2 linked regions of the Rhinolophus ferrumequinum genome follow. The protein of the gene in region 1 purifies or fractionates together with the protein of each later gene. This does not show direct contact. Links are inferred from orthologs where the notes say so. Each region holds a gene or a part of one and is shown on either strand. Other genes may lie near its edges.

What was found. Proteins that work in one complex are often made in the same cells at the same time.
Region 2: the proteins of RC3H1 (region 1) and CNOT7 purify together in Homo sapiens (affinity purification with mass spectrometry; 5 studies listed by BioGRID, with this or other methods). This does not show direct contact. The link is inferred for Rhinolophus ferrumequinum from reciprocal best matches to the Homo sapiens genes RC3H1 and CNOT7.

The regions. Positions count from the first base shown.
Region 1 is NC_046305.1:8,832,321-8,842,637, forward strand, and holds the start of RC3H1 (roquin-1), read right to left. Parts: upstream 4,016-10,317; 5' UTR 3,776-4,015; intron 1-3,775. UniProt on the Homo sapiens protein: Post-transcriptional repressor of mRNAs containing a conserved stem loop motif, called constitutive decay element (CDE), which is often located in the 3'-UTR, as in HMGXB3, ICOS, IER3, NFKBID, NFKBIZ, PPP1R10, TNF, TNFRSF4 and in many more mRNAs.
Region 2 is NC_046287.1:72,512,146-72,522,165, reverse strand, and holds the start of CNOT7 (CCR4-NOT transcription complex subunit 7), read left to right. Parts: upstream 1-6,075; 5' UTR 6,076-6,305; intron 6,306-7,786; 5' UTR 7,787-7,880; coding exon 7,881-7,997; intron 7,998-9,759; coding exon 9,760-9,953; intron 9,954-10,020. UniProt on the Homo sapiens protein: Has 3'-5' poly(A) exoribonuclease activity for synthetic poly(A) RNA substrate. Its function seems to be partially redundant with that of CNOT8.

The DNA.
Region 1 (10,317 bases):
TGTAAGGTAGACTCAAAATCTGTACTAGAATTCTTTTCCTGAACCAATCAGGAAAACACTGTGAACTGGTAAGAAGTGTCTAATATCACATAAGTAAACAGGCACAAGTCTGACCAATATGGATATAAACAAAGACACTAAAGCTGTCTTAGAGATTCAGGGCAACATTAATTCAGATTAGTAAACTCCACACTGGAAAATGTATAGAATTTACCTTAAGAAACTTTGGTGTGAGAAAAATTCCTTTGTATAAATGCCTGACAAAATTAATATTATGTCATAACCTCTGGGGCTAGTCCAAATCCAGCCTGGACTCCAGAATTAAACAAAAGAGAGGAGATCTTAAAGAGGACCCTACAGAACAGGCTGATTTCAAAATCTACTGTGACTATTTTGATGCAGGCCAGTCTGAGAATTTAAATCCACTGGAATCCAACCCCAAGGAATACTTGAACTACCGGAGTACTGACAGGGCTGAAGTTAAACCAGGTCAGTACACCCTGCCAAGGAACATGTTGCTCCAAGGTGTCCACCAAACAAGGATCATTTATCAGCTTATTCTTCATCTTATTGGATGCCAACCACTTTCAAGATATATGCACGAGTAGCCTGATTAGATCCTATCAAGCTCCATTTCAAGCCCTAAGATCTAGAGATTAAAAACACGCTGCCGAATTCTAAATGGTTTATGACTTTAAAAAATGTAACTGAAGAATTTCAAATGCTAGCTGACCCAACTTTAATATCACTGAATGTTACTAAAGTCATTTTTAAATTTTCATAAAGTATTTCAAAGGCACAACTTAGTAGCTGCTTACATAATTAAAGCCATGAAACATAGTAATACTACAAATCTGTCGTATATAAACGGTATGAGTTTCTATATTCATAGTATTTAGATCTGCTAAAAGCAAAAATAAGTATTTCTGTCATAATTCACACAAATAAATACTTTCTCAAACTTGTAAGTGAATATTTGGCAGGGTACAAATAACAATACTAGAACGGATATTAGGGCTAAAGACAAATACAGGATTACAAGACATAGTTCATGGTCAAAACTAGGAATCTGTCAATACGTTAGATGCTTCAAAGTTTAACCTTGAAACATATGGTAGCAGTAATGAAGCATCTAATCTGTCACAGGACCTGGGTTTGAGTAAGCTCTTTTACCTATTAATTACTGTGTGGCCTTTTTGCTATTTACTTAGCTTCTCCTAGCCTCACAGTCTTCATATACAGAAGGAGAACGATATCGCCAACATTATAGCCTAACTAGGAGAATTAAATGGGAACGTTTTACTCATTCAACGAATATACTTTGAAACACTAATATTTTTATGGCCAAAAAAAACCACAAAAACCAACAACTGTCAAATCTTTTGAAATGAATCAAACATTTATTAACTTTCAATATTACCAAGTAAATGCAAATCTGATTCCTAAGCTATGGTACCTAAACTTCTTACAAGGAAATTCTTCAACACCACTTGAGAAAATCTGAACTGAAATAATCAGAATAAACGCTGATAATGATGATATGACAATTGAGGGATCACATTTTAAAACAGTTTGACACAAAAACAGAATTCTCTAAGAACTTTTTCAATGTTAAACAGATATAGGGACCCAGACTCGACCCATAAATTGTTGCGTCAACATCTACTTTCAAACACAAAATCTAACACTTAAAGCTTTGTTTTTAGAAAAATGGTATTAGGCATGAGGCAAATGATAATTTAGGATTATAATATAATACAACAAGAGATTTTTTTTCCATAACAAAGCACGCTAATAACTTACAATTTACAAATTCATAAGTTACTACATTTGTTGCAATGTTAGGGTCACAGATAAATTTAAGAATCGTTGCAATATAGACTTTACTTGCATGCTGTATCGATCTAACAAAACTTGGCATTTAAAAAAATCATGGATTTGAGCACTTAGAGAAAGGTGTCCTTTGTGAAACTTATGCCCAGAAAATTCACATAAGCAAGAGCCATGTGAAAGTTGTTCTTTCTTTCACTTAATCAAAACATCCACACATCTATGCATAAAAGGAAAGCCATTCGTATTTATCCACTATACTTTACTCCTAAACAATGAGATAGTTCAACCTCCATGTTTATTCAATTGCTAGTCTATTTACTGTCAACTCTTGTGGAAGACCTAAGGACTCATTAAACCTCATATACTGTAACCTGAAAATGCTTTGAATTACGACAGACAGGCAATTCTAATGAGAAATTTACCCTAAACACAGGTGAACGATATTAACTGGCATCTTCTCAGCACAGGTCAATCTTCCTTTTTAAGAACACAAACTAGATGGACTATGCAATTGAATGTTAAATAGTGGAGCAATCTTCTTGGATGCATCCAAAGAACATTAATATAAATTTCTGCACACCTAGGTAGAAACTGGAATAGAAGAAACTTAAATGATTTTTCCCCCATCATTTGTCGTGGTAGGTGCCTTTGAAAAATTAAGTTAAGGAGAAATAGTAATTGTAGAAGTTTCAGATACCACTACAGTAGGGCAAATATAATGAACAGCTGTCTCTTGATAAGTTTAAACATTCAAAACAACAACAGTTGTTTCTAGTTTTTGAAAATTGTAATATAATCAAGTTTTGAAACCTTATCAAATCTGCTTCAGAAACCCAATTTCAAACTTAGAGGACAGGGCTGGTCTTGCACAATTTTAGGGCAAATTACTGAACGACAAAATTAGAACATGAGACAGGACACAAGAAGTTCTAGCCTGCAGATGAACCGCATCTGTCTCCTGAAGAAATGCTCCACGAGGTCCGTTTCGAGCTGTTGTTGTGTCTTATGCGGCACATTAATAATTCAAAAACGGTTCCTTTGGAGAAAAGTTCTATTCAAACATTACAATTTGTCTTTGCGTTGCCAGTAAAAGGCTTTGTTTTCAGTTTCATGGACTATTCTGGGATGTCAAGAGTTATGATGACTGCTCCAAAAGCGTCCTTGTTCCACTCTCACCCGGGACGTGGGCATAAGTGATGTTCAGAGAGAACTGATGCCCAGGGAGGTGTTTAAAGAGGAACGTCCCGTAGATAGACGTCCATCCCTCTCCATCCTCCATCGCTAATCACCTTTTACCTTGCATTTGTTGTTGCTGCACTTACATATTTTTTTAAAAAAGACACCTGCATACACAATTTGCCTATCGCCGCCGGGAAGAAAGACTATATCGGTCCATCTCCAGGGAAATAGACGTCGTAAAACCCATTCCTCCGGGGAAAGGGAGCGCCTAAGGGGTTGGGGAAATGAACTGCCCTGAGGGGGAGGGAGGCAGAGGCGGCGCCTGTTTACAGACGCCTTCACCTCCCCCACCCCACAAGCTGAGGGTCCAAAAGCGTTTCCGGGGCGCAGTGGCCTCCCGGCCTGGGCCCCCGGAGTCACAGAGGACCTGGGCAGCCTGCCGGCCCCAAGCCTCGGGCCGAAGCCGCGCTCGCCCTCCCCTCGTCCCGGGCGGCGTCCGCACCTCCCCACGGCCGGCCTCCCCACCCGGGCAGGCCCTCCAGGCGGCACGCGGAGGCCTGAGGCCTGAAGGCCGCCGGCCACTGACAAGCCCCTCGGCCGCCGGCGGGGCCTGAGGCCCGGCGGGCGGGCGGACGCGGCCGCCGAGGAGCGGAGGGCGGGCGAGGACAGCCCCTTCCCCGCCGCGGCTGCCTATTGTTCCCGACCGAGGCCGGGCCGCGCCGCCCCGCTCCCCACGCCGCCGCCGCCGCCGCCGCTCGCTCACCGCGCTGGTCCGAGCAGCAGCTCCTCTCAGCTCCGAGTCCCCGCGGCCGTCGCCACCGCCGCGGCAGCCGCCGCCGCCGCCGCTACCACCGTCGACTCTGACTCTGTCCCAGGCCGCCGGGCCACGGCCACGGCCGTCACTGCCAGCGCCGCCTCCGGCCTCCCACCTGCTGCTGCTGAGGCTGCTCCGGCAGCAGGGGCCATCTTGTTGGTCGGCCTCCCCTTCCTCCTCCTCCTCCTCCTCCTTCGCCACCCGGTCGCTCGTTGTCCTCGTCCCCTTCCTCTTCCTCGGGCTCCGGCCCGCCCCGGAGACTGGGGCGGAGATCAGGGCGAGGCCCCTCCTTCCGGGGGCGGGGCGAGCGGAGGGGCGGGGCGGGGCGGGGCGGGCTAAGGAGGAAAGCTCTGAGTCACCGGCCCCCGACGCCGGGAGCGAGGCTGGCGACGCTCACCGCCGGGACCCGAGCGCACCCACGCCCTGAGCCGAAGAACTGGTCCATCCGTCTGCCTGGCCCAGCCCCCACCAACGCCTCTGCGCCCAGCGGGCAGGTGGCCAGACGGTGAAGGTGAATTGCAAAATTTCTGGCGTTTCCATCCAATCCCGCACTACCTCCATCTACCAACCCCCTTGACTTTCTCAGTCTTGTCCCTCCACTCTTGTTTCTTTTCCATATCTCCCCTCACACCCCCCAGAAGAATTTGTTCTTAACTCTTTGTATCCAGGTTCTCCATCACACCAGCTTTGCCCAAGTCACCCCTCTCACAGAGTCCCGAACGAGTCCAGCCTCCCAACTGGGTGAAACAGCCCGAAGGCCAGTACGCTCACTGCCCCCAAACGTCTCTCCAGGCCTGTGGGCACCGTGAGAGCCCTCTGGGGGGAGGACAGGAGAACTTGGCCCCTACAAGAGCTCCTGCATCTAAGCGCTAACCTCGTAATTACTGCAAGTTTCTTCTTCAAGGAGAAGAAGCCATTTTGATATGGGGTAATGGGAGACCCCTGCAAGACAACGCGGTGTAGCCAAACCCTTGCTTTTAAGAAGGGAGAGAAATGGAATTCTTTTCATACCATGCAGTCCTAATTTCAAAATGAATCGTCTGGAATAGAGGAGGGAGATTGTCCTCAAATAATCACCCAGTTAATAGTCCTCTCTGCATTGTCCCTTTTTTTGCCTCAGGTCTTGACCAAGAGCAGAGATTTTTGCTTTCTTGTCCTTTGTTCACTGCATACATCACTACCAAGGAGAGTAATGGACTATATTTAGAGACGCTTCTGCCTTTATCGTGATAAATCTAATCACTATGACAGATAGTGTTTTTATTATTTGTAAATAACATATCACACACCTTCCTAAACTCTGAGCGGGGAAGAGTTTTTTTTAGCTGCTAACACCCTCCTGTACTCCAGAGTTCAGCTTCTTTCTAGAAGACCTATTGATGTCTTCCTATTGATTGGAAATTACTGCCTTCGAAGTGGGACTACATCAGTAACCTCTTCAACCTACTACTTAGTAACCCCAGTCCTACAAAGAGTAAATTTCTAGCTGTCACAAAGGGATTGGGCTAGCGAGTGCTAACCTAAGGGCCATCTCCCTCAAACAGCCAAGCCTCAATCCCCTGCTAGGAGAAACAAATTAATCTGTTCCTGCTTTTCCTCCCCCTCCCTTCTCACTCCTAGGGAACCTTCCACAACAGAAGGTTTTAGCGGCTGTTGCTAGGCAAACATGCCAACCTCCCTTGTTTAGGTGAAGCTAGTAACCCAACTTCCATTACAACCTAGCAACCTAGATAATATAATTTCTTTGAACTATTAATAGTTGTACGTCAGTTGGTAAAGCCCCTTCAAGTTTCCCTTTAAAAAATACGACTTTTAGGTTATATTAATTTCATCAATATTTCAGTTAAACATAAGTTGAAAATGGAAGGGCTTCCCAAAATTCATTTTAACAATATAATTAAACAGAAACATTTAGCAGAAGAGCAGCTTTGAAGAAAACACTGAAGTGTTTACAATAAAAACTAATGAAAGAGAAGCCGTTTATATTCTTTAAGCTACCCAGTTAGTCTAAATGTATAGAAAGATACAGAGAATAATTTATCTCCTGAGACTGAGTCTATTTAGAAGAAAAATGCTATGGTTATTCAGTGAGGGAAAAAAAAGATATTTTGGATTTTATTCCCAAATTAATTCTGTAAGAATTTTAGCTAGTGAATCAAGCTTTTTTTTTCCTGATTTTGCTGTTTTTAAGTTATTGCTATGTTATGTAATGGTAACATTTTTCAGGGTGTCGCGAATTTATATAAATAAGATTAAATAAGACATGTTGACTTTTATATTACATATATTTAAACTTCTAAACTTAAAATTATATAATTGTTGAATCCAGTGAAATTTGTATTAATATAGTGAAATAGTGTTTGAGAATTACCTTGAGCCAAGGTAACACATTAAGAATGAATTACTAAAGACAAACAGCTTAAGTGTTTTATATTCATTATACTTAGAAATCATTATTTTGTAGCTTTAACACAATTTAAACAAGTTAGTTTTATTTTCTATTTTATTTAGTTCTTATATGGAATGCCTAGAAATTTAGACCCTGTCTCGTCCTCCACCATTGATATGCTATGAAAATTAAATGAATCATTTCATGTGAAGGACTTAGAACAGAGCGTGGCACATAGTAAGTACTCAAATTTTTTTTAAAACCATTTTATGTTTGTGTCATTAGAGTCTTTAGTTTCTTGATCAAATAAGGATGACAAGTCATGAAATATGTTTTTGCTCTTGGCATGAGCTCTAAAATAAGTAATGCTACTTTTTAGATCACACACAAATTAGAATAATGCCTGATGAATTTTTTCAATGCCTGTACTATATTGTTCTTATTTATTTGTTTTTTGAGAATAACCTCTGCTTTTTAGGTTATACTGAATGATTTTTTAAGATACTACATACTTACAAATCGCTCTGGAATGTGTAATTGTACACCTACAGCATTGTTTGTCATATTAAAGCTAGAAAAGACCTTAGATACTAACCCACTTATTTCAACAAATGAGATAGAGACTAAGAAAGGATAGCTAGGCCACCTATCTACCCAACTCCTTATTTATAAACACTCTTATTGAGGAGGGGGTTAGAGAGCTGTAAGGGCTGGGATGGGAGGAGAAAATACACATGTGAATGAGTCATGTGTCCGTGCCTTAAAAAAAATTAACGCCATAGTGGGAATACAATAAGACATGCATGTTAACTACTAGAGTATAAAGTAGCTTGGTGATATTGCATACAAACTACCAAGTGCTATGAAAGTTAAAAGGAAGAAATAGTATGAATCTTAATTCTAATGTCACAGAACCTACCTTTTCACCAGTGACAATACTATGTATGATATTAGATATGTACCCAGAGGCATAGAAGTACAGTCAGCTCTCAATTCAGGGCAGGTAGGGATGAGGAAGAACAAGGAATAGGGAATTGGAGGTGTGGCAATAGAGTTTGGATTGACTAAAAAACCTGGTTAAAGTACAGGTGGGACCTGAGAACTCTTCAGTGTAAATCATTTATATAGGGGTAGTGGGGAATGACATTCTCAAACACAAACACGCACAAAATGGGAGTACTGGAGTGGGGTCATTTGAATTTTCTGAGCTGCTTTAGGTTCAATAAGGATGGGAGGCCAATTGAGTCCTCTCCATCATTCCCTCCTTCCTCTTCCCCTCTACGTAGATTCTCCATAGCCTACTCCCACCCCCTGACCTCACTCCTATTACCAGTGTCCATTAAGATAAATCTCTAGAAAAGAAATAAGAAATACAGATAGATGTCTCGAGCCATTACACTAAGGAAATAGGAGGAAACTAATAGTTTCTGACCTACCCTTCACCTTTAGAGTCCAGTCCCAAGTAGACACAAGTCAACATTTGCGGATTAGGCCTAAGGGGTTACCTTAGACTCAGGGTAACAATCCAAAGTAATCATGGCAGATGTAGGCCAAGTCAATTCTGGGAATTCTGCAGCTGGATCCCTATAGACTTGATTGCCAAATAGGTAAATAAAACCATGTTTCTGACTCTTACCTGCAATTACTTCTGAGCGGACTTACCTCCCGTGAAAGCCTCCCAACATTGAGCATATCTGAAGCTCAGTTGACCTCCTAAGACTTATCCCAGGGTGATAGTAAACAGCACCCTTTTATTAAAGAGACATCAAACAACTTTCTGCAAAGAGGCTCCTTGTAGGCGCTACTTTAAACAGTGTGATAAAAGAAAGTAGCTGCCTTTTCACTGGGCAAAACTCAGTGGAATATTGTTGGTTTTCGATATTGTTGGTGTTAGTTTGCTAGGGCTGCCATAAGAAATACCACGGACTGGATGGCTTAAACCACAGAAATTTTCTCACAATTCCACGAAGGCTAGAAGTCTAAGAATAAGATATAGGCAGGTGAGGTTTCTTCCAAAGCCTCTCTCCTTGGCTTGTGGAGACTATCTTCTCCCTCCGTCTTCGCTCTGTGTCTGTATGTGTCCTAATTGCCTCTTACAAGAACACCAGGCGTATTGGGTTAGGACCTACCCATATGACCTCATTTTGCCTTAATTACTTCTTTAACAATCTTATCTCCAAATACAGTCACATTCTGAGGTACTGGAGGTTAAGCCTGTGACATGATTTGGTGGGGGAGAGGAGTGGACAGAATTCAGCCCATAATAACAACAAATGCTCACTTTAAGAATACCATACTTATGAATAAAACGCACCCTTGTTGAAGGAACAGTTTTAAATCTACCCAGTTAAATCTGAAGCACTTCTTTTTCTGATTACTTTTTGCATCATGAAGTATCAATGCTTGGGAGGTATACATTAGCAACAACCAATAGGATACTAGAATAAAAAAACTGATTACCAAAATTATCTGAGTCACACCACAAGAGGCTAGAAAACACGTACCAGAATGTGAATAGACTCATGATTAGTATGAAAGGAGTCATATTTATATAGCTAATGATTTAAACCTCATTTAGAGTTCCATCTTGTGTAAATAAGCAATTATAGATATATTACGGTCAAATGTATTTTATAAGCAAATGATATCCTGTAGCACAAATGTATGTTCACTATCTCTTAGGCAACATTAGGTTTATCATGTCATGAGTAGCCAGTTAAGAAAAAGTTGGACATTTCATGTGTAAATCATTCAGGAAACCAGAATTTGAAAGTGTGCTTTAAGCAAGATGGAATCGAACCTTTTTTTTCCTCCATGCCTAACTTTGTAGGATCTGGACTTTTAGAGTTCTTTACGATGTTTCAAGAGGTTAGAGATTCAAGATGAGCTCTGTTAGTTGGAGGCAGGTCACGAACCAGATAGATGTCCCTATGGTAGACTCCTCACTGAAGATGAATATTCAGCTTCATGTTACTCCATGAGTTTATTTCACTCTTATCCTCTACATTTCAATAAAGTCTGATTGTAATGTCCCAGTCTTTTCTCAGCTGTGCCACCTTCTAAAAACAGGCGAGTTCTGCAGCCATACTTAGGCCAGTCGTTCTCATGCAGGCCAATGTACATCCGTAATGGAAATACCTGCAGCTCCTCCAGAGGAGAAGCAAATCTCAGGGAATAAGAGTCAGAGTCTTTCTCTACCTGGATATTTGTCTTCTGTTGTCAGTGTTGGACAGGTAGAAAGACTTATTACCACCCAAACTCCACCACTTATTAACTGTGTGAGTTTCTCCAAGTTAAGCTTAGAAAGCTTCAATTTCCTTTACTATAAACGAAGGGATTGTAAAATGTACCTGAGATGGTTTTTATGGAGATTAAAATGAGAAAATACATGTAGAGTATCAAGTACAATGCCTGATGTCTATCACTCAATGAATGAGAGTTATTGAAATTATACTAGGTACTGAGTGTTGCATTAGACCAGTGATTTTCAGTTTTGCTGTGAATTTTTAAAAACTATATATCTTCTGCTCTGACCCTAGAGATTTTGATATAAGGTGTTGGTGTGGGGCCAGGGATTTTTTTTTACCTTTTGGGGATTTTACATGTTATCCCATCCTACGATCTGAGGTAAGAACCACTGATATAGATCAATGGTCAGTAAGCTTTTTTGTAAGTGGCCAGACTTGTATTTTAGGCTTTGTGGGCCATACGGTCTCTGTCAACTACTCAACTCTGCCATGGTAGCAGGAAAGCAGCCACAGACAATATGTAAACATATGAGCATGACTGTATTTCAATAAAACTTTATTTGCAAAAAGAGATGGTGGACTGGATTTGACTCCCAGACTGTTGTTTGTCAACCATGTCTTATTGGAAGAGAGATTATATTCGCTAGAGCCAGGAAAAGTATTATTATTATGTTCAACAGCAGCATTAAAAGCCTTACATGTAATGAGCAAGGTTTGGTGTTAAACGTAATTAATTAAACAAAGCTCCTGCATTCCAAGGAATTAGTAATGTAAAACAACAACAGCACAGGCATAGTATTTATAAGTATTCCTGAATGAGTAATTGCCGTATAAACATGAATATACAAATCTAA
Region 2 (10,020 bases), on another chromosome or scaffold:
GCTTAGATTTCATTAAATAGGACTTGGTTCAACTGAATAGCTCTACCATGTAGCTAGCTTCTTGCAAGGAAATGGAAGTAGAGATGAATATAATATGGTCTTTGCTTTGAAGGGGTACATGGCATGAAGAGAAAGTCAAGTAACTAAAAAAGGCCAATTCAAGATCCCGATATCATGCATTTCCCACAGTGTTGGGTAACTCAACGACTGCTTTTGGTGAACTTTGCAAATAAACGATTCACAGGTAGTTAAAGATTGTAGGAGAATAGATAACTTCCCCTTCTCATCTAAACCTCCAGGAAATATCAGGATAAGACTTTTAAAAAAGCAAATCTAGAGCTGTGCAAGAAGGCAAATAGTACCGTAAGTAGACAAGAAATTCTGAGGAATCCCTGAAAGATAAAAATGATGGCATTAGATTTAAGGAAAAAGGAAAGAAAAAGATAGTAAATAAATGAACTATGACAATCCAGAATGTAAGACCAATGCATAGGAGGAGCAGTTTGAAGGCCCTCCAAGCCCTTGAACCAAGTAGATGCAAACCTAGTGTGGGGGCAGAGCAGGAGCATTTCTCAGGGTAATAAATGGGGAGACATGGGTAACAGCACATAGACTAAAGCACTGTCCTCTTTTCCCTGCCTGTTCAAACCAGGAACCAGCAGTACTATCTGCACCTGGAACAACAAACACAGTGAGGTACCTCTGAGGTAGCAGTGCCTAAGGAAGCTACTACTGTGTTTCCCCGAAAATAAGACCTGGCTGGACCATCAGCTCTAACGCGTCTTTTGGAGCAAAAATTAATATAAGACCCGGTCTTATATAATATAACTCTCCAAGGAAGTTATAAGGCTAAAGGTTTGCGTAATCAGAAAGAACAACGGTATCCAGGGACTGGCAACAAAAGAAAAATCTCAAAATAAAAGACTATGGAGATTGGCACTATTATTTTTAAGATACAAAATAACTGTCATTTACAGAGTACCTACTGTGTGCCAGATAATATTCTAGTTTCTTTATATGTATCATCCCTAAAATCCTTCAAAATAGGCACATTTCATTTGTGAATAAACTAACTCTTCGGAATGGACTTGCTTTCTGAATGGAAAGTTAGAAGTAGTCCTGCCAGAGACAAAGGAGGTGTAAACAGGCTTGTGAGAGATTTGCAAACAGTAAGTTAGCGCTAAAAAACAAAGGCTCCAGGCACACAGACTCTACGCAGTGGAAAAAGGAATGTATTTTGTAATATGCTTTCTATGTGCCAGATACGCTAATAAATTATTTATCTTCATGTATTACTTAAATATCAACAATTCTACACAATAGGAATCACAATTCCTGATTTTACAGATGGGAACTGGAAGGCTCAGAGAAGCTTTGTAACTTACTAAGAGGTCATGTTGCTATTATAGTACTATTTATTAGAGCCAGAATTGAAATCCATGACAGTCTAATTACAAAGCTTTCATTCACTTAAGTCAGGCTGCTTTTCCCAACGTCAGTATTTTTGCTTACTTCTACTTATGTTGCTCAAATTCATTTTGTCTTTTATCAAGGAACCTGAGGAACCTACGGACTTTCACAGCCGGGCAGGGCATTAAGAATTCAGGTAGTCAATCTTCCCATCTCAGCAGACCTAAGGTTATGTGAACATCCAAGGTTCACTGCTAGTTAATGATATACGTCAGCATCGCCTGACTTCTGGTTCAGGGCTTCTTTCATTAAGACTATTAGTTATACCAGAGTAAATAAACAAAAGCAATTCTGATAAACTTTAACTCACAAATTAGATTTTCTTATTGAATATAAAATAAAATTAGCACCAGAATTACCATGTACTTGATTATTAAAATGAATGCAGAAATCCTTTACTTGAGAGAGCTAATCTCCCTAAGTAAAAGGTAATAAAGGATTATTTGTATAACTTTGAATTTACATAGTTAATTACAGATAATAAGTACCATTTACAACATAGCTCCAGGTTGTGGTTTTCCAACTAAGGAAATAAAATAGTAATAAAAATAAGCTAATTAACTTTAGATATTGTGAGAGAAGAAACCAGGACAGTTAGGATGGTAACTGTTAAAGACTATTAGTTTTTGATATTTCTTGATTGCAGGGGCAATGCAGGGAAATACTTAACAGCTTCACTTCTGAAGAATCTTTAAATATTGGGATTAGTGTCACCTGGGATATTTCCAGGTTGAAAATAGCTATTAGGTTGGTGCAAAAGTAATTGCAGTTTAAAAGGTTAATTGCAAAAACCGCAATTACTTTTGCACCAACCTAATAAAAAAGTGACGGTTTATTACATGTGCTGCCGAAGCGAGCGATGGTTTATTAAGCTTACACTGCAAGAAGCCCAGAGACAGGAAGGTCCCAGAATTGGTTAATTCAGCATCACAATATTAGCACAGGCATTCCATCTTTCTACTCTTCCACAGTCAATACAGTCAGCTTGTATTCCTTCCTGATCCAAGCAGTTCCAGATGTCCCAACATGACAACAATATCCAAAACATAAGAGAAACATCTTTTAGACATCTGTATTATTGAGAAAACATATTGAGCAGCTCCGCAGCAGACTTCGACTTCTCCTTCAACTCCCACTGACCAAGGTTAAGAGTCCTGCTTTCAAAGTAACACACACAGGGCATGAAACCACCATCACTGGCATAAACAATCATTTACCTTCTGCGGTTGAAAGAGCATAGCCTCCATTGAATAAGTATGTGGTCTTGCAGGCCCAGAACCCAGATAAAAACAAGTGTTCTTCAAGAAGTCAGGGGAAATGGATATGAATGGGAAGCTCCCTTCGAGTGAGCTTCTTTAGGAAGTAGTAGAAACAGAATTAAGTTCTACTCCTGCCCAGAAAGTCAGGAGTTTTAGGTGGTAAATTACATAGTATGATGACTGTTATTCAGAAAGCAGAATATATTACTAGAGCCTAATCTATATAACTTTCAATTTCCATTTTACAGCAAACGTGCTTTGGTTAAACACTTTTTTTTTTTTTTTTTTTTTGGTCATATGACAGTTTCCTATTTGCCCTGCCTCTCCAGTAAGACTTAGATGAGGAAATACACATAAAATTTAGCTAACCTTTAGAAGAGTCCTGAGGGAGATGAGGAAAAATTTTTTAAGGTAACAAAAAAAGGAGTTTACATTTAGTAGAGAAAGGGAATTAAACAAGCTCTTTCCCAAAGTGGAATTTTTTTCATTATAAGGAATTGAAAGATAAGACTTGGAAAATAGATGAGAGAGAATGGGGTGGGAAAAGGTTCTTGAGGGCAGGCAAAAAAAAAATGAGATACTTTCACTGGCAGAAAAGAGCTGTTGACCTTACCTTTGGAGCAGGGATAGATATGATAACTGAGGGAGGTGGGCTGCATAAACAGGATATTGATATTCATAATTTAGAAAGTTTTTGTAATATTCATGAAAATAAAATACCATTCAAAACATTCTTTCAACTTTTAGAGTGTACCTTCAGAATAAGCACACAGTGTCCTTCTATACAAAATTCTTTAAATATAAATTGTATACTGCACAGATTATTTTTACCAGCTAGCTTTAAAATGTATGTCATGAGTTAAAAGGGCAGATTTAACAAAATAGGTGGATATCATTTTTTCTGGAATAGTACCATTCCCTGAAAACTGGAGGTATATGACCTACTTACTTAATTATCTCCAGAATTCCAAGTTTAGTTTATAAATGTGTAACATTTCAATAAAATAAAAGTTCAACTATTTTCATAAAAGAACTTAAAGGAAGAAAGAGTCCTTAAAATTAGATGTTTATAACATTACAAAATATGTAGATAATGTCACATGATCAATTATATGTCCAAAATTTCTGGCTCAAGAAATAAAAGTGATCCTTTCTGCATTTGACTCAAGAGCAGTTCCTTTCTGCAAATGATCCTTTCTGCATTTGACTCAAGAGCTGATGCTCTTACCAATTCCAGAACTCCTTAGATTAGCAATTCCTGTTTTAGAATCTTATTTGGGAAGTCAAAAAAAAATACATAATACATTCCAAATTGATCACTTCTCCTATTTACCAGCCTTAGCAGCAAAGGACTTGAAATATTTCAAAAATTCCACTCCAACCTCAAAGAACAAAAATTTGCCAGCAGTGACAATATTTAACACAATATACTAAAGGCTTAAAAACAATTAATTCCAAAGGTGTGGTTCTAAGAAGTATTTTGGCAATAGTAGTATTAGTTTAGTAGATAGTCTTCTAAGGTGACACTTTTTAAGAGGACAAACTTTTGTTATGTTTGTTAAAAATGAAGCATCTCTTGTGAGAGTAGCTCTTACAGGTTAGTGCGGAACACTGTTTAGAAGACTTCTAAGAACTCTATGAACTCAATTTTCCAAATAGAAAGCCACCATTAGATCAAAGAGTATACCACTCCTTCCTGTTAAATACCACAAATTTTCATCTTTTGAAAGTTCTGAACAAGCAGAACAACTGAGGCTAAAAAAACCAAGAAACAGCCGAAGTTTAGACAGCAATAGGCCTTATTTTAGCGAAATTGATTTTGCAATGAATTTTTCTTTTAACTATCTAATTTAAAACTATTCTATACTATAACTTACTTGCTTGGGAAAATATTAATGTAACAGATAAAATGGCTCCTAATAGTTCAATACTTAGTCGATTTTATTAACTCAGGATATATATTTTTAAAATGTATGAATAGTTTATTTTAAAAAGGGTTATAGTTGAGCGACGTTAACATCTTTACATTAAAATACATGTTATGACACTATTAAGTACATATACTTGCATAATTCATATAATATAAAGAGGCAGTTCTAATTTTTGAAAACCATTAGAGGCCACAGATATGTGCAATATAAAAGGCGGCAGCCATACCAGATTACAATAAAAACAACTGAAATCACTTGAATTGCAAAATATTTCTAATCTGACCACGAAGAAAATGAAAAACTCATAAAAGACAACAGAGCAGTCAGGATGAATATAAGACAACTCCTGAGTGTGGAAACAGTGAGGAATGTACAGAGTGGTAGTTGCCAGATACAAGGACGTTGTTGGAACAGCGTGAATCTTAAATTAGAGACTTAAGAGGATTGAGTATGTTTCTCCCAGAGAACTCGCTGATAAAAACTTTGGCTTCCCTCTCCTTTGCTGTTGCAGTTTTTTTTTCCCAAAAATTTTCCACTCTTTGTGAAACGTGGATATTATTCGTCACAATTCTTTTTAGCCAAATAGATTATTTTAACAATTTGGCTAAAGCGGCAATCAGCAGGCGAAAGGAAAGATTAGTGAGGAAGAACCTGGAAAGGAATGTTGGATGTAAACCATAAAAGAGATTAGTCAGCAGCGATGTGTCAGGAGGAATGAACAAGTCAAAATTAGAAGAGCTGAGCAGTGTTGGAGCAAGAGGGAGGGACCTGGAGGGTCCAGAGGAAAAATCCTGAACATAGGTCTGAGATGGCAGAGCAAATGTGAGACCTAGTACGAAGGGAGGTGGATCAAAATGAGGCAGCTGCTGGAGAGTCGGCCTGAGAAACTGTGAGTGTGATTAGGACCAGCCCGCCCTCCTGCCCTACTTTTTCCTCCTGTCCGAGAGGCAGCGACCAGTCACCTGGAGTGTGAGTTCCGGAGGGACTCGATCAGGCGCTGCTTCTGCTGTTGGAGGCTGGTGAGGCCACCGGGGGAGCCAGCTGCGGAGGAGGAGGCGCTCTTGGTCAGCGGGAAGAGCCAGCTCATCCTCCACGGGTCCCCGGGCCCGAGGCCCTAGACTGTTCTGGCCTGCTTCTCCCAGCTACTCAGCCCGGTGGTTCTCCAGCGACAGAAGACCAAGGCGCCGGAGGCCGGGGCTCCAGTGCTGGGCGGCCGCGTCTTCTCTAAGCAAGCCCGGCTGGGGGTCCTCGGGTTTTGGGGGGTATGCTATGACTACAGGTAACTGGAGAGAGGAAACTTGCCGCCCGGAACAGGCAGCCCTACCTTGGCGGCCCTGACGCCAAACCAGCCAGTCAGGCAGCTTCACAGCCCAGAGCTTTAACCACCCCAGCCTCCGTCACCTGCGTGCCCCGCCCCCTCTGCGTGTCGCGTCATCATCTAGCGCCCCCGCCAGGACGTTACGAGAAGCGACGGCGCAGCACGGTGCGGAGCAGCTCCGGCTCCCCTTTCCCCCTTGCCGGGCGAGCGGTGTCTATGGGGCATCCGCTGCCGCCGCCGCCGCCGCCGCTACCGCCACCGCCACCGCCGCTGGGTGCTGTCTCTATGGCGAGGAGGAGGAGGAGGAGCGCGAGCTCAGTGACACAAGTAGATCTTGCGTCTGCCGCAGACCTGCGGGGGGAGGGGCGGTTTGGGGAAGTAAAAAGGGGGTGGGGACGATGAACCTGAGAGGGTGCGCGATGGCGCCAGCTGGAGCTTGGCTGGCGAAGGACTGAGTTGGACGGCGGGCCGAGGCGGGGGAGGGTAACTGGGGCTGGGGTATGTCAAGGAGTTGGCGCGGAGTGATGACGTAAAGGCTTTGTACCTGGAGCTTCGATATTGTGGGATGGAAATTGGGGGTGGAGGGCGGTGGCCTTCATGCACAGCTAGCTCCACGTATTCCTTCGCGCACCAGTGCTTGGGAATCAGTCTGGCCCCAATGAATCCTTATCAGCACCTTCGCGCTGGCTCTGTGCCAGGGAAGGGAGTTAACTGACTTGAATGCTTCTATACTGTCCTCTCTCGTTTCTTTGGGAGCCTGCAGTACGGAGACTTTACCTACAGTAATGAGAAGGTTTCTGGTGCCTCATCGGAGCTTCTGGAACCGTGGTAGAGAGAGATGAAGTAAAGCAATGTTAAACAATAGGGTCTTTCCAAAGTGTGTGTGTGTGTGTGTTTCTTTCCAATGTGTGTGTGTGTGTGTTTAGCGTAGTGGACAGGGTTATAAAAGGGAACTCCCCTGGCTCTTAGAGCACTCGGTTACATTTGTTACTGCAGCGTTTAGAAGGGGGAGTAGTGTAATTCCCTCTTTTACCTTTGTTAAAATTTTTTCAAACTCCTTGTTTGAAGAATTTCCTTGCTCAAGAATCAAAATGTTGGTCTGTACTCTTATCATCATATACTATGCGACCAGTATTTATGGGCCAGAGAGTTGAGATTTATGTTTGGTAACCAGGGAAAATGCTCTTGAGTTTTAGGAAATTAGAAACAGTTTGAAATATGGACACACTATTTTCTCCTTTCTCTCTCCTGCAGTTATGAACATTCAGTCTCTGTGGCTATCTGTTACAGCTTTTTGTTGGTTTACTTTTGTCCCCTCCAATCTGGCTTGAATAAATGCCAGTAAAGGAGATTTTGTAATCAAAACAGATTTTGAATGTTTTGTTAATGAGGAATAAAAGCAGACATTATCTCTGTCCTAGTAGCATCTGATAGTCTCACATGTATATCAGTATTTCACCTTTCATATTTTGTCTGGAAATGGATGTCTTTACAAAGTTTTATTCAGAGAGTCAGTTGAAGTCACAGCAGTCTGTAATTATTGGAAAGTTTTAAGAAATGATTAGTATGTATACATAAAAAATACTATTTTTACGTAACATTGGTATTAGAACCAGGAAACTTGTGTTGTGGTCCTTTTTTTCCTACTGATTAGATGTGTGACTTTAGAAAGGTCACTTCCCAAACTTTGATTTTCTTATGAATCAAAGACTTTGAATAAATAATCTTTTAGGTTTCTGTCAACTCAATTATTCCATAATTTCATTTTCTGATACAGCTGGGTTTTATTTTGGTTTTTATTATGACAGGTACACAAATAAAGGATAAAGTATTTTATGAAACAAATCTTCAATCAAATATAATATTTTGATGCTTGGCAGCTAGACTTCTTGTGCCCTCACTATGCCAGCAGCAACTGTAGATCATAGCCAAAGAATTTGTGAAGTTTGGGCTTGCAACCTGGATGAAGAGATGAAGAAAATACGTCAAGTTATCCGAAAATACAATTACGTTGCTATGGTATGCCTGTGATCAAATATCCTTAAAATACTTCTTATAAAAGGGGAAGAAGGATTTTTAAAGTCTTGAATTCGGCCCTTCTGGTTGATTTTTTTTTTCCCATGGATTTTATTATGAAAATTGTCAGTATCCTCCAACCAAAGACCACCTGGATCACACCTGTAATGTGACAAGTTGGGTTGATTTACTCACTGCGTGAGGGAAAACGCATACCTTTGGAGGATCTGGGGGCATTTGAATAAGACTGTGTTAAAAAGGACTTTTGTGTCAGGTGGTTTTAGGGAGGGATGAAGGAAGCCAGACTTTGCTCTGGATTGGATAGTGTCATAAAGCTGGGTAATTATATGATAGGGTATCTTAAGTCTTAACTACATTGAGAGAAGATGAGAGTGAAGCTAAAGCTATAAAGAAGCAACAGTTATGTTTTTGTTATTTTAGTTATGGTAATAGAGTGGCCTTGTCTGGTGTTGAAGTGTGAAATTGTTTATATTGGACAGAAGAACATTAGGACCTAGCTATGAGTGCCAGGTCAGCACCTAGCAACACTAAGGCCTAACTGATAGTACCAGATGAGCTCCTGTAAGCTAGGGAACTCTTGGATGTCTTTCTCAAATAAAAAAAAATCAGCTTCCCAGTGAAACATTGTTGATCTGCAGTTTTTTGTTTGGTTTTTTAATTTATTTTAGTTATCAGTGGAGTTTCATGAACACACTGCTTTTGCATATACTATTCAATCTGCCTGGACTGTCTACTCAGTTAATTATTTTGCTTCTTTACTACTGTATCTCATACATCTGTTATAGCCACTCTACCATTTTCTAGATAATCAGCTTTGTGAAGCAAAGGGTTAGTATCTTAATCATCCTTTGTCCTTCTGACATCTAGCATAACATATTAGCATCCAATAAAGTCGTTGAGTTGGACTGAATTTAGAGAAGTTTCCATTTTTTTACTCTTTATGATAACTTGGTATTTAGATTTTGTTCTTAGCTTCCTGATGTATCCTTTTCCCAGTATTTTTAATATAAATAAATATGCTCTGTGGGAAGGGGAAGGTTGATTGGTTGAAATACGAATATTTAAGTGTACATAGATAATGTTCTATTTAATAAATCTGTACTTACTCATAGTTAGAATTGAATTTTTTTTTTAATCCAAAAGAAGTTGATAGTGATCAGTTATTTCTTAGATAATAAGGAGTGACAACATTAGAGACATGATAGCATTCTACAGGAATGAGTGGGCAGCATACAGTTTTTGACAGCATGCTTTCTCTGGAGTATAGAGAGAATGCTGTTTAAGTCCAAGAAATTAGGAGGGTTTTGGTGTTCAGATAAACTTTGCCTGAGAAAGTCATTAGAAAGTATGACGCCTTTCCATTCTTTTAAACTAGTTCTTTGTTGCTTTTAACGTTAGAATAGCATAGTTTCACATGCTCCTGGAGAAACATGAATTTATTATTTTCCCTCTTTCTTGGGCATAGAGTCCTTGATTGCATTTATCATTTGTATCTTATACATAGTAATTTTTACTGATGTAATATTTAAAGTAAGAAAAGTTCATTAAGTTTGTAGAGTTTTATTTTATGGTTCCAAAAAGTAATGCACTTACTAGTTAAAGGTACTTTGTAATGGAATAAAAGGTACTTTGTAATATGTAGATAACAACAGGATTCTTTGACTTGTACTACCAAAATTAATTATTCTAGGATTTTGTGGTTTGTGGTTTTTAATAAATAATGAGTTTTAAAACTATTTTACAGGACACCGAGTTTCCAGGTGTGGTTGCAAGACCTATTGGAGAATTCAGGAGCAATGCTGACTATCAGTACCAACTATTGCGGTGTAATGTGGACTTGTTAAAGATAATTCAGCTAGGACTGACATTTATGAATGAGCAAGGAGAATACCCTCCAGGAACTTCAACTTGGCAGTTTAATTTTAAATTTAATTTGACGTAAGTGGGAAATAAATATAACCCAAACTTTTTTTTTTAGTTTAATTTTAGGAATTGATTTCCCTTG